3 linked regions of the Mus musculus genome follow. The protein of the gene in region 1 binds, or shares a complex with, the protein of each later gene. Links are inferred from orthologs where the notes say so. Each region holds a gene or a part of one and is shown on either strand. Other genes may lie near its edges.

What was found. The genes of interacting proteins can lie anywhere in the genome.
Region 2: Nfkbia (region 1) and Chuk share a complex: the UniProt entries of both Homo sapiens proteins name them as parts of the 70-90 kDa complex. The link is inferred for Mus musculus from reciprocal best matches to the Homo sapiens genes NFKBIA and CHUK.
Region 3: the proteins of Nfkbia (region 1) and Nfkb1 are in contact, whole or in part, in a crystal structure (PDB 1NFI), measured with the Homo sapiens proteins. The link is inferred for Mus musculus from reciprocal best matches to the Homo sapiens genes NFKBIA and NFKB1. Residues at the interface, in NP_065390.1 of Homo sapiens: Asn108, Asn109, Leu110, Gln111, Arg140, Tyr181, Pro214, Cys215, Asn216, Arg218, Tyr248, Gln249; in NP_001158884.1 of Homo sapiens: Lys251, Ile252, Val253, Arg254, Met255, Asp256, Arg257, Thr258, Ala259, Pro326, Lys345, Leu348, Tyr350, Ile353.

What each region holds. Positions count from the first base shown.
Region 1 is NC_000078.6:55,489,738-55,493,947, forward strand, and holds the start of Nfkbia (NF-kappa-B inhibitor alpha), read right to left. Parts: upstream 2,911-4,210; 5' UTR 2,790-2,910; coding exon 2,563-2,789; intron 2,042-2,562; coding exon 1,933-2,041; intron 1,594-1,932; coding exon 1,383-1,593; intron 1,123-1,382; coding exon 1,034-1,122; intron 930-1,033; coding exon 669-929; intron 233-668; coding exon 185-232; 3' UTR 1-184. UniProt on the Homo sapiens protein: Inhibits the activity of dimeric NF-kappa-B/REL complexes by trapping REL (RELA/p65 and NFKB1/p50) dimers in the cytoplasm by masking their nuclear localization signals.
Region 2 is NC_000085.6:44,072,708-44,076,496, forward strand, and holds the end of Chuk (inhibitor of nuclear factor kappa-B kinase subunit alpha), read right to left. Parts: exon of another isoform or gene 3,059-3,789; intron 2,824-3,058; coding exon 2,724-2,823; intron 1,834-2,723; coding exon 1,804-1,833; 3' UTR 627-1,803; downstream 1-626.
Region 3 is NC_000069.6:135,593,922-135,597,566, forward strand, and holds part of Nfkb1 (nuclear factor NF-kappa-B p105 subunit), read right to left. Parts: intron 1,146-3,645; coding exon 944-1,145; intron 458-943; coding exon 288-457; intron 13-287; coding exon 1-12.

The sequences.
Region 1 (4,210 bases):
CCGGATTTCACAAAGACAACAGCCGAATCACCCCAGTAAAATGCCTGGGTCTAGGCGCTGTGTGGTGTGGTGCTAAGTATACCCTTTCTCATTTTTTTTCTTTTTCTTTTTTTTTTTTTTTTTAGAAAAATAAAACTCTATTTGTACAAATATACAAGTCCACATTCTTTTTGCCACTTTCCACTTATAATGTCAGACGCTGGCCTCCAAACACACAGTCATCATAGGGCAGCTAAAACAAGAGAGGGGAAAAAGACATATTAAATTCCTAGAACTTCACCAAGACATTGGGATAAGGGGAGAGCTGCTGCTGAAATAACTCCTATTCTTGGGCTCTTTTTCTCCTTAACCCAAATAGAACAAGGGCACCAGGCTGTAGGAGTTTCCCTTACCTATTCTTTCCTTAAAAAAAAAAAAAGTCTAAGCTATTGAGGGGGTGGAGCTTAATGGTTGAACGTGTGCTTATCACCATGTGCTAAGGCCTGGGTTCAATTTCTAGAATTCCCTCATTCCTCAACCCAAAAGGGTAAGCTCTTAAAACAAACCAGAGACAAATTCTTGGGATCCTGGCTTTGCAAGCCGAGTCTGAGAAGTTAAACAACTGAAATCCCTCTGATCCAAAGCAGCCCTAGAACAGCCGTCAGCGTGCTGAGGGGAGGAACACTCACCTCATCCTCTGTGAATTCTGACTCCGTGTCATAGCTCTCCTCATCCTCGCTCTCGGGTAGCATCTGGAGATTTTCCAGGGTCAGCTGGCCCAGCTGCTGCTGTATCCGGGTACTTGGGCGGCCCCAGGTAAGCTGGTAGGGGGAGTAGCCTTGGTAGGTTACCCTGTTGACATCAGCCCCACATTTCAACAAGAGCGAAACCAGGTCAGGATTCTGCAGGTCCACCGCAAGGTGGAGGGCTGTCCGGCCATTGCAGGGCTCCTGAAACCAAAAGCAATCAGGCGTTAGTTTACGGCTGCATCTGGAAACCTGCTCACCATCAGAGCCAGCCCAACAGAGATTAGGTGGAAGGGAGATGTACTCACCTGAGCGTTGACATCAGCACCCAAAGTCACCAAGTGCTCCACGATGGCCAGGTAGCCGTGGATAGAGGCTAGGTGCAGACACGTGTGGCCTGGAGGAGGAAGACAAAAACTGTAACTACGTGTTTCAATCCTCACACAACTCATGTCTATTGTCTTGAGGACAACCACAAACATCATCAGTTTTGAAGAACTCAGAATCTGGGTTCTGAGTGAATATCATATAGGCATCGAGGAGAAAACTTTTTAAAAAGATCACAGTGTCTGAACTTTGTATACGTTCGGAGTTTAAGACTCAAGTGGCCCCATCTCTCTCCCTCCTCTGCATCCTTGGATGGACTGGCAGACCTACCATTGTAGTTGGTGGCCTGCAGGACGGAGTGGAGATGCTGGGGTGTGCAGGTCTGCGTCAAGACTGCTACACTGGCCAGGCAGCCCTGCTCACAGGCAAGATGTAGAGGGGTATTTCCTCGAAAGTCTCGGAGCTCAGGATCACAGCCAGCTTTCAGAAGTGCCTCAGCAATTCCTGGCTGGTTGGTGATCACAGCCAAGTGGAGTGGAGTCTACAAATGGAAGAGGAAACAGAAAGGGATAAGCCATGGAGCAAACCCATAGTCTTGAGTTTCCTGAACCCCAGACACCTCCCGCTATGGAATCTGATCCTCCCATTTGTCTCTTAGGAGATCAGGCAAACAGGAGGCCCTAGGTGGGTCATAAAGACCTCACTAAACCCAAGGGATTTTTCTTCTGGTTCTAAGACGTTGGCTGATTTGAATGCAAAAGGCCAAGGCAGATAAGAACTAAGTGACTATTAATTTAGAAACGCTTTGGGGGCGACCGTGCTACATCTGACTCCACCAAGGGGTCAAAGAGGGCACCCGCGGGGCAAGCAAGCAGCGCACCTGCTGCAGGTTGTTCTGGAAGTTGAGGAAGGCCAGGTCTCCCTTCACCTGACCAATGACTTCCATGGTCAGCGGCTTCTCTTCGTGGATGATTGCCAAGTGCAGGAACCTGAGGGATGACAGGGAAACCCCCCGAGGGGTGGTGAGCACACTGCGTGGGGGGGGGGGAGGCGCGGGCTGGAGGTGGGGTTGGAGGGGGGATTGCGCAAGGCCGGGGTTTCTGGAGGCCGCGGCCGCGGTGTTTTCCGCGAGGTTATTATGAGCTGAGTGTTCCTGGCAGCCGCCCAGGGACTTTCCGTGCCCCACCCCCTCCGGGCGGGCGCCGGCCAGACCGGCCCGCCCTCCGCCGCCCGGAACGCCCTGTACTTCCCCTCGCGGCCGCGCGGCGCCCGGCGGCTGCGCGCCACCGCTGCCAGGCCGGGACTTTGCGTCCTCGCCGCCGCTGCCGCCCCGCCCCCCCCGGCCTGCGCTCGGCGACTCCGGGTCCGGGGACAGGGGAGGAGGGGGAGGGGGGAAGACAGGCGGCCCGCCGCAGCCCCGGCGCCCCGCAACCCCGGCGCCCTCGCCGTGCAGAACCCCGAGCGCGCTGCAGGCCCCGCGCGACCCCCACCGGTGCCCGGCGCCACTTACGAGTCTCCGTCCTCCGTGAGCTGCTGCTTCCAGGGCTCGGCGGCCAGCGGCGCCTCCTGCGGCTGCAGGCGGATCTCCCGCAGCTCCTTCACCATTTGCTCGTACTCCTCGTCCTTCATGGAGTCCAGGCCGCTGTCGTGGCGATCGTCCACCAAGCGCTCCTTCTTGAGGCCATCCCGCGGGCCCTCCATGGCCCAGTCCTGGCCGTGCCCAGCTGGCTGAAACATGGCTGTGCGGGGCTGAGCGGGTGCAGGCTGCAGGCTGCTGGCGGCTGGCTGGCGAGGTCTGACTGTTGTGGGCTCGGCAGCGCCGCCGCGGCGCCCTATAAACGCTGGCAGGGGATTTCTCAGGGGCGGGGTCAGGCGCGGGGAATTTCCAAGCCAGTCAGACTAGAAAAAGAACTGGCTCGTCCTCCACTGAGAAGCCTAAACCCAGGGCCGGGGTTCATCGGAGAAACTCCCTGCGATGAGCCACTGGGGTCATGCACAGGGAACTTTTTGATGAGCCCTGAGTGGCTGGAAAGTCCTCCCGACCAGGCCCCCTCCCTCTAGGTACTTCCCTGCAGCCTGCACTCAGTAACCCCAGCCCTCTGCAAGAACCCTTCTTTCCCTGGGGTTTCCCACCGGGCGATTTTGGTTTGGGGTCCCAAGCTGCGCAGCTTCCAAGGACGCAGACCTGCTAGGCTGTTCCTCTTAGCGATTTGCCAGTTTGCAGGTCTTTTCCGGTTTTTGATCTTTTTGAAAACCCAAGAGTGGAAACGCTGGCTAGGTGCAGGGATTCGCTTCTCCTAAATTTCTGCGACGACGGACATATGAGTGGTTCCGGGGCCGGCTGTGTTTTGTCTGTTCCAGGCCCTTTGCAATGCAGGGACATTTGGCTGTCCTTCACTCCTACTCCATGAAGCTGTAAAAACTTTGGCATTAAAACAAACAAAACCACCACCACCACCAACAAAAACCAAGAGCTTGGAGAACCCCTAGATTATTTCCTAGGGGTCAATAATCTTGCCCCCCCCCCCGGGGGAGGGGCAAATCCTAGCTCCGTATGGGAACCACATTTTTCCCCAAGTAATGCAAGCTGTTAATCTTAGTAGAAGTTGTAGTTTCCTTGCAACCGCAACTGTTGCGTTCTTGCTGTCGGAGTTAACTTGTTGCAGAGAATGAAGCCGGAGCTTATTGTGAATGCCTAGCAGAGCAATTGACTTAGTGCCCTAGCCAAGGCTGGCCTCTCAAACATAGCTAAAAAAGTAACTGTGAGGTATCCTGCAGGAGGCTCAAGATAGTCCTAACACAGACCCCATCTGAAACCTGCTGCTTCTATCAGCTTCCTTGCTCCCAAGGGACCGCGGCATTATGGGTAGCTGCTCCCCCAAGAAAGGGATTTGGGCCTGTGAGCCTCTAGTTTAACCGGCAAAAGTACAAATGTTACTTCCACCCCACCCCTACTTAGGGAAAATTAAAGCAACGTGGATCAGAGTTTGTCAGACCAGATCCAGGAGGCCTCTCTAGTTCTGCATAGATTTCTGGTGAGATGTGAATGATCTTTTTCTTAATGAGCCTTATGTCAGCTTTCCTCTCTTTGGAATTCCAGCGCCTCCCCCTGAGTATGCATGTGAAGACACTGAGGGAAAAGATTCAAAATCCAGGAA
Region 2 (3,789 bases), on another chromosome or scaffold:
TTGGTTAATAGTGAGACCTTGTCTAAAAACCAAACCCAAAGATAAAGACAACTCAGCTTCAGGTGCAAGGAGAATGGCAGCATAATAAAATGGGATGGGAGGAGTGTATAATCGGTGTAAATGATGAGTCTTAATGTTTTTAGACACATAGAGTAGTACTAGTACGTCCTAGGTAAAAACATTACAGTAAGGAAGTTCCTTAACTCTTCCCAGTAAGTCTATTTAATTCTAGAAGGAAGTACACGGTTGGGGACATGACTTGATCAGTAAAGTATATGATTTGTAGGTAGGAGGATCTGAGTCTGGTTCCTCAGAATGCATGTAAAATGCCAGGCATGGTGGAAGCCACCTGTAGTGGCAAAGACAAGAAGACCCTGTGACTCACAGTCCACCCAACCTACCTTAATTGATAAGCTCCAGGCCACTGATATACTCTCAAAAAGTAGGGCAATATTCCTGAAGACTATCCCCACAGTTGTCCTCTGGCTTCCACACATGTGCGCACACACAAATAACAAAGGATAAAAAAATCTATCCTGTCACTAGTGCTCCTAACCTATCACATGACCCTTTACATTTTCTCAAACCATATTAGCCTATGGTATTAAAATGAGTAGAGATTCAAAATAATTTTAAAATCATTTAATATGCAAAGTGAAAAACTAGAATATAAAAGCATTTCACATTTTTTCAAACAAAATAACATCTTCTAAGTTATTTAACATAAGGCAGAGAACCGCAGTCTTTTATCTGAAACCCTTAAGTCTAGATGTTTCAGAATGAGAACTGTTCAGATTTTAGAAAGGTAATTCAGTGCATACGCCACACTACATCAACCTTCAAGAGAGCCTGTGGCAGCACATCCCAATAATCAAACACATAAATCAATGAATATTCACACTAAATGGGATAAGCAGATCCAGTGTCAGATCAGAATAGATACCTTGTTTTCAGAACTTGGATTCTGAGACTGTAATTACAGATAAAGGAATGCAGACCCTTTGGAATTTGTATGACAAGACATAAAAGATTGTTTAAACAAGTAACCCATTTTTACAAATGCAAAAACAATACAACCTTCAAATACATTATAAATTAACAGGCATCTTCTCTTTGATATTATTAAATGTACACCTTAAATACATATACATATAGCACACAACACAATTCATTATGGTCAGCTGATATCAAAGGCACAAAAGTCCAACCCCTTACACAGGAAAAGGACTCTATTAAATGTGTGATTAAAGATGGGATTCATCTGACTCCATGTGATGCCATGAAGAACACTTGCTGAGAGCAACACAAGGAGGCTGGGCTTAGTCTTCAGGAAGAGCAATTTTACTTGTCAGCAGTCTCTTCCACAGAAAACCCATAGATAAAACTTTACTTCAAATGAACACTGGGTGAATTTTTCATTCCTGTATACTAATACCATGTTGGGCCTTATGCCGAAAATTTAGGCCTTTAGAAGATTATCTTTTTCATCAGCTAAACTAGTAGTAGTATTTTTCCAATTTTATAAGATAAGCAGGTCACTAATGATCTCCCTCATTAGTTGCGGTGTTAAAAAGAATAATTAATTTCACTAATTTGCTATAAAATTCTATCTGTTCAGAGATCATAATTATTAGAAACAAACAAAACACCAAGCTACTGTGCTTGTAAAGTCACTCGTAGTTTCCGATCACAGCCATCTCCTCACGGACTGGTAAGTGAGGAATGGCTTCAGCAAGTAAAGATGACTTTGGAGTAAATGACAAAACAGCTTCGTAGGCTCCAGGACAGTAAACGAGTGTCGAGTCATTCTGCTAACCAACTCCAATCAAGACTCTAAAAGCAGGCATGCAAAGTCACAATTAGCAGTTATCTGAATGTAGAGTTCACTTTTAAAAATTTTTTTAATGTTTGGACATTTTATATTCAAAATTCAAAAAGTTAAAACTACAGAAGTTAGAGTTTGAATTTAGCTTACTTTATCTTCTGGGAACTCAAAAAGTATTTAAAGTTATTTTAAAATCCGAGTCAAATACTCTTAAGTGGAAAGACAAAGAGTTGTATCAAAACTAAATGCAGTGAATTTGCTAAGATTTTAGAGTAGCTTCTCCCAGTTTTAACAAATCAATAGTTCAAAGCAACTAAATCTTGATTCAGCCTCTTTTATTATTAGCTTAATCGATCTTATATGCATCAAATACAGTAATTACAGAGTAAAACTATCAGCTTACTGAAAAAAATGTATTGCTGAAGCAAAGGGGTACATGCATTCACACTGCGAAGAAAGGTTAATCTGACTGTTGACGCTGCTGGGGATGCTCACTGTCGACACAATGCTACCACACAGGACAGTTAGTTTTGCAGAGTCGACGTAACCTAGAATCACCTCAGAGGAGACTGCCAAGGACAGCTGGGATGAGCCTGATTTCCTTAACTGATGTGCAAACCATCCGGCCTAAAAGTTGGCAGCACCGTGCCGAGGGCTGAGCCCTGTATTATACTATGAAAAGGCGAGCTGAGTACTGCCAGGAATGCAGACGCTCATTCCTCTACACTCCTGACTGACTGTAGCTGTTACGTCTACCTACTTCAAGTTCCTGCCTTGACTTCCTCATAATGGTGGTCTGTAGTCTATAATTATAAGCAGAAGAAACCTTTCTCCCCTACGCTGCTTTTTGTAAGGCTAATTGATCACAGTAACAGAAGTTACTCCACACAAAACTTACCATCAAACTACTGCTCTGGTCCTCATTTGCTTCACGAATAATAGTACTTAAATGGCCAAGACAGTTCAGATTTTCTTCTATCATTTGTGCTAACGTCTCTCTGACAGATGAAAGAACAAAACCATTTCAAGTTCAGCAAAGGAGCCCCTGAGTGTTGCCTCCTTTCTGATCTTCTAAGTCAGGATGACCACTTTCTGTGACCAAGCACCCCAGCAAAGCAGCTGCTGCTGTCTTCAGTTTCTTCATCCCTCCCACTCAGAGACAGCACCCCACTTCACCTAAGCCCCTGTATCTGCCTACTCTGGGGAGTCCACTGTAACTCTAATCAGATTTTCTTTTGAAAGAGGTGGCACTGGTAGCAGCCTCCCGCCCTCCCTGCTAACAAGTACCAGATTAGGGGAAGGTCCCTTGGTATTGACAAACGGAATACATTTTTGCTTGTTTGTTTCTGGATTGCTTTCTTTTTCTTTTACAGACAGTAAAACACCAGCATGTTCACTTCACACACAAACACAGGGGAAGAGTCAAAGTGCAGTCCGGTCTCCAGAGATCCAGGAAAGAAACACTGGTTCGAAACCACAGACAGTAGCAATGAAAACAAGCAAGCCGACCGATGAAGACAGCAGATGAAACCATGAACAACAAGTATCCCTGGTTTCTTGTATGTGAAGGTGGCCTTGACTCTAGCTTCTCCCTTCATGTTTCCTCTTCCATATGTCCTCTGCCATCATCCTTCACCAGCCCTCAGTCCCTCCTTTATCACACTGTAAGCCATATATAACATCCACTGTTAGCTTAAAACTAAGTACTGATTTAGAAAATATCATGCTAACAACTTCCTAATCCTTGGTTATGAAGTACCAGCGGTACATTATAATTAAGATCAGCTTTCGTTTATCAGAACATGTATCTTTTGATAAAGATATGCTGTTGGAAACAACCGCAGACTCAGACTGGAAGTTTCCTAGAGAGCTGAGGATTAGTATGTACTAAACTTTACTTCCTTCAGCTCTAACGGAGAATCTTCTCAAGTCTGTAGAATCCCACTCTCCACTCTACTTGTTTA
Region 3 (3,645 bases), on another chromosome or scaffold:
GTGGGCATCACCCTAAATCCGCCCACAAAGAAAGAGTTAGCAGGGGCTCTCTCCTCCACTGTCTACCTCCACATCTCCGTTGCACCTCAGGTTACATCATTCACCCAACTGCTATACTGGGCTGGCTCTGTCACTGGCATCCCCAGGTTGAGAGCTGGGCTGGAGCTGGGGATGCAGAAAGCAGACAGTGGAATACTGACAGCGAGCTGGCCCTAGAGTCATTCTTTGAAAAGACTTCCCTAAAACTTCCAGGGGGATTTAGGTCAAGATCACAAGTACGCCTTTACCTCCAGAAGCAGGCAGCCAGCCAAGGAGATGTTGTCGTACTCCACGGCCAGGTGCAGCGCTGTGCGCCCAGACTTCTGCTCCTGAGCATTGACTTCTGCCCCGGCAGCCACCAGCAGCAGCAGACATGGCAGGCTATTGCTCATCACAGCTATGTGGATGGCATTTAGACCTAAGGCCGAACAAAGGCAGAGATGTGGGTGAGACTGACAGAGCTGGGCTGCGGGGAGGAGGGACACCACCAGGTCGCAGCACTTCCGGTTTCTGTTCAGGGCGTGCTTCAAAGCCTCAGACGGTCCACTGTTCTACTTTCAGAAGCCACAAGCTCCCACTGTGTTCTCGGGAGACACTGAGCTACTATGTAAACGTTCTCCACACACACACACACACACACACACACACACACACACACACACGATGCTTTATAAAGACTAATGTTTGCTCGGGCTTGCTTTTCCACTTACTAAGCAATACTCACAAATACTCTTTAAGGGCGTTTGCTGTAATAAACAGCAGAAATAACCACAAGATATGACAAACTCCAGCTGGCTGAGGAGAGTATTCATGGTGAAAGTCATGTCAGATGCATTTGTCAAATGCCAAGCCCTTATGCTGCAGCCGAGAGGGGACGGTTAGCCAGCAAGGCGACTGCTCTTACCTTCCCCATTGGGGTGGTCGATAAGGGGCGCTGCTTTTCTGCTCTTGAGCAGGATGCTGAGGATTCTGTCGTGTCCTTCTTTGGCAGCTAGGTGCAGGACAGAGTTGCCCCAGCGGTCCAGAAGGCTCAGGTCAGCCCCAACCCTCAGCAAATCCTCTACTACATCTTCCTGCTTGGTGATCACGGCCAAGTGCAGAGGTGTCTACACAGAGAAGGAGAGGGAGAGCCATTGCTTAGGGATGTCTGTAGCCCCTGGCTTCAGGCTACGTTATGGAGTCATACTGTAGGGACATTTGTCACTCAAGGAGCTTCCTGTTCTGCATGCCAGGCTCAAAGGCCCACGGAGAGAACCAGCATTCAACAGTCGGGGTTATGGGATACGTTTGCTACATGATTTTTTTTAACTCTTGTAGAAGAAAATTTAATTTCTCTGAATTTCTGATAGGTATCTATCTATAGCTGGTAATTCTATACATTTGCAAATCGAACCAATGCTGTGTTTTTAACAACAAAACATAAATAGACTATTAAAAGAAAGCAATCAAGAAAGATGTCATCCTTCCACAATGGTCTGGAAGTACATAGGCTAAACCAGAACACACTGCTGCAGGCTGGCTTCAAGAGACGCACAGATACAAGCTCCACTGTAATACTATCACAGGTGCTACCAGATCCTCAGGGCATAGTTAGCCAATACAGCACTCTCCCTAAGAAAGTTCAGGCAGAAAACAATCCCAGGCACTGTGCATAATAGGCTCTGGGAGGTCTTTCTGACTACCCTGACCTCAAAGCTGTGCTTCCATGGTTGTAAGTAGGACGCATGGAAAACTGTTTTCAGAAACAAGTGGGGCTAACCCAATCACAAAAGTGTCTGTCAAAAAGCTGAGATCACTGGTAGAGAGTAGCACCAACTCTCAATGCCAGCCAGTCTGTGTTGTAGGCGCTTTACACTGAAGCCCAGGCTGTGTAGTGAGGACTTGCCCGACCTCCCATTCAGGGAGTTCTTCCTGCTGGGAAGCAGTGGCTGGTGGGCCACCAACACCCAAGGGTTACATTTTACACACGCATAAAATGCGTGCCTCAAGGAATCCCTAGAATCCATCTGTGGAGCTCAGGGCTCACACTGCCCTTGAAACCCACTTGTGGCACCCATGGGTACAGTGCAGGTGCTCACTGCAGTGCACAGCCTGTGGACAGTGAGCAGCTAGTTAGGGGACATGACAGCATTCTCTTCAGGAGCAATGAGAACAAACCAGCTGTCTATGAAACTAAAGGATAAACAGCGTGAAGACCCAAGACAGGGACACAGTACAATGCTACATACACATCCACAAGCACATGGATTGACCATTCATTCATTCATTCATTCACTCTGCTTAGAAACAGTCTTGCTTTCTGCCCAGGCTACATTGGAACATCTATATTCAAGGACTCTTCCTGCCTTAGCTACCTGAATAACAGGAACTAAAACACAATACCACCATGTTCAGCTTAGGAAAAAAAAAATCTTACAGAGCTATCCATGCATATGAGTACATACAAATATTGAGATCTGATTAGAATCTGTTGCAATTCCTAATTGTATTATTGTGTTAAGTAGGATGTAACTGCTGGGGGAACTTAGGAGGTAAGCGTCTGGTTCAATCTCAGGAAATATACAGGTCCTCTCAGTTGAATTTTGCAAAAATTATGAATTGAGAAAGTATTTTAAATCGAAACTTAAAGGGAAAGGCTGATGTGGGATAGGAAATGTATGTATAAAACCGTGTGGAGTGCATGTGAGCACACTAAAGAATACATGTCTTCCCAGAGCAGCTGTCTGTAGCCAACACTGGAAGAGCACTCTTCCTGTATACATGCAACAGTCACATCTGGAAATAGGGAGCTGTCGGATCTCCCTATGCCTCCAGAGCTGGCTCCACTGTGCTGCCCAAAGGGCAGGACCCACTCTCCCATACACTACAGCCTGTGAGTGAGGGGCAGGGCCAGTTCTCCTGCTCTCACACCCTCAGGGCTGCTCACTGTGCTCCCTCCACGAGGGTCCTCTCTACTCTGCAGCACAGGCTAGATGCAAGGCCTGCTCTCGAAAGCCTGTGAAGGACAGGGCTAGCTCACCCCCTTGCATGACCCCAGGCCAGCTCTCCTGACTGCCTGCACAGGTAGTGAGAGGCGAGGTGGAGGAAGGCATCACCCCTGCACCCAGGCTACCTCATAGCAGACAAGTGGCAGATTGCATTTTTAACCATCACAAGTATAAGAATAAACTGAAGAAGAGGAAGTTGCTACTTCCCAATCCTCTTTGCAAAACCTGCTTCCCTCGGCTGCTGGAGGTTGGATTCAGGAAGCCCTGCTGGCTGTTGGTGATAGGATCTGCGGAAGCAGGCTCTATTGTGTGCGACCCAGCTCTTTGTGGATGGAACCTCTCCCCTGAGCTCAAGGCAAAGCTGCTCTGATTTGGAGCCCTCAGACCTTTCTCCCCAGTTTTTCCCACCTTGGCTTCACTCAGTTAATGGGCACAAACATTCCCTGCCATACCAGCTTCTTAGCCTCAAGGACATAGACAGGCAGCGTTTGTGATTCTCATAACTTTTGGGTTTCTTTGTTTGGCTTTGTGGAGTTGTTTTGCTTTGTTTTGTTTGAGAGAGGGTCTTCCTGTGTTTGAGGCTGGCCCAGAACTTGCTGTGTAGCCCAGATTGACATGA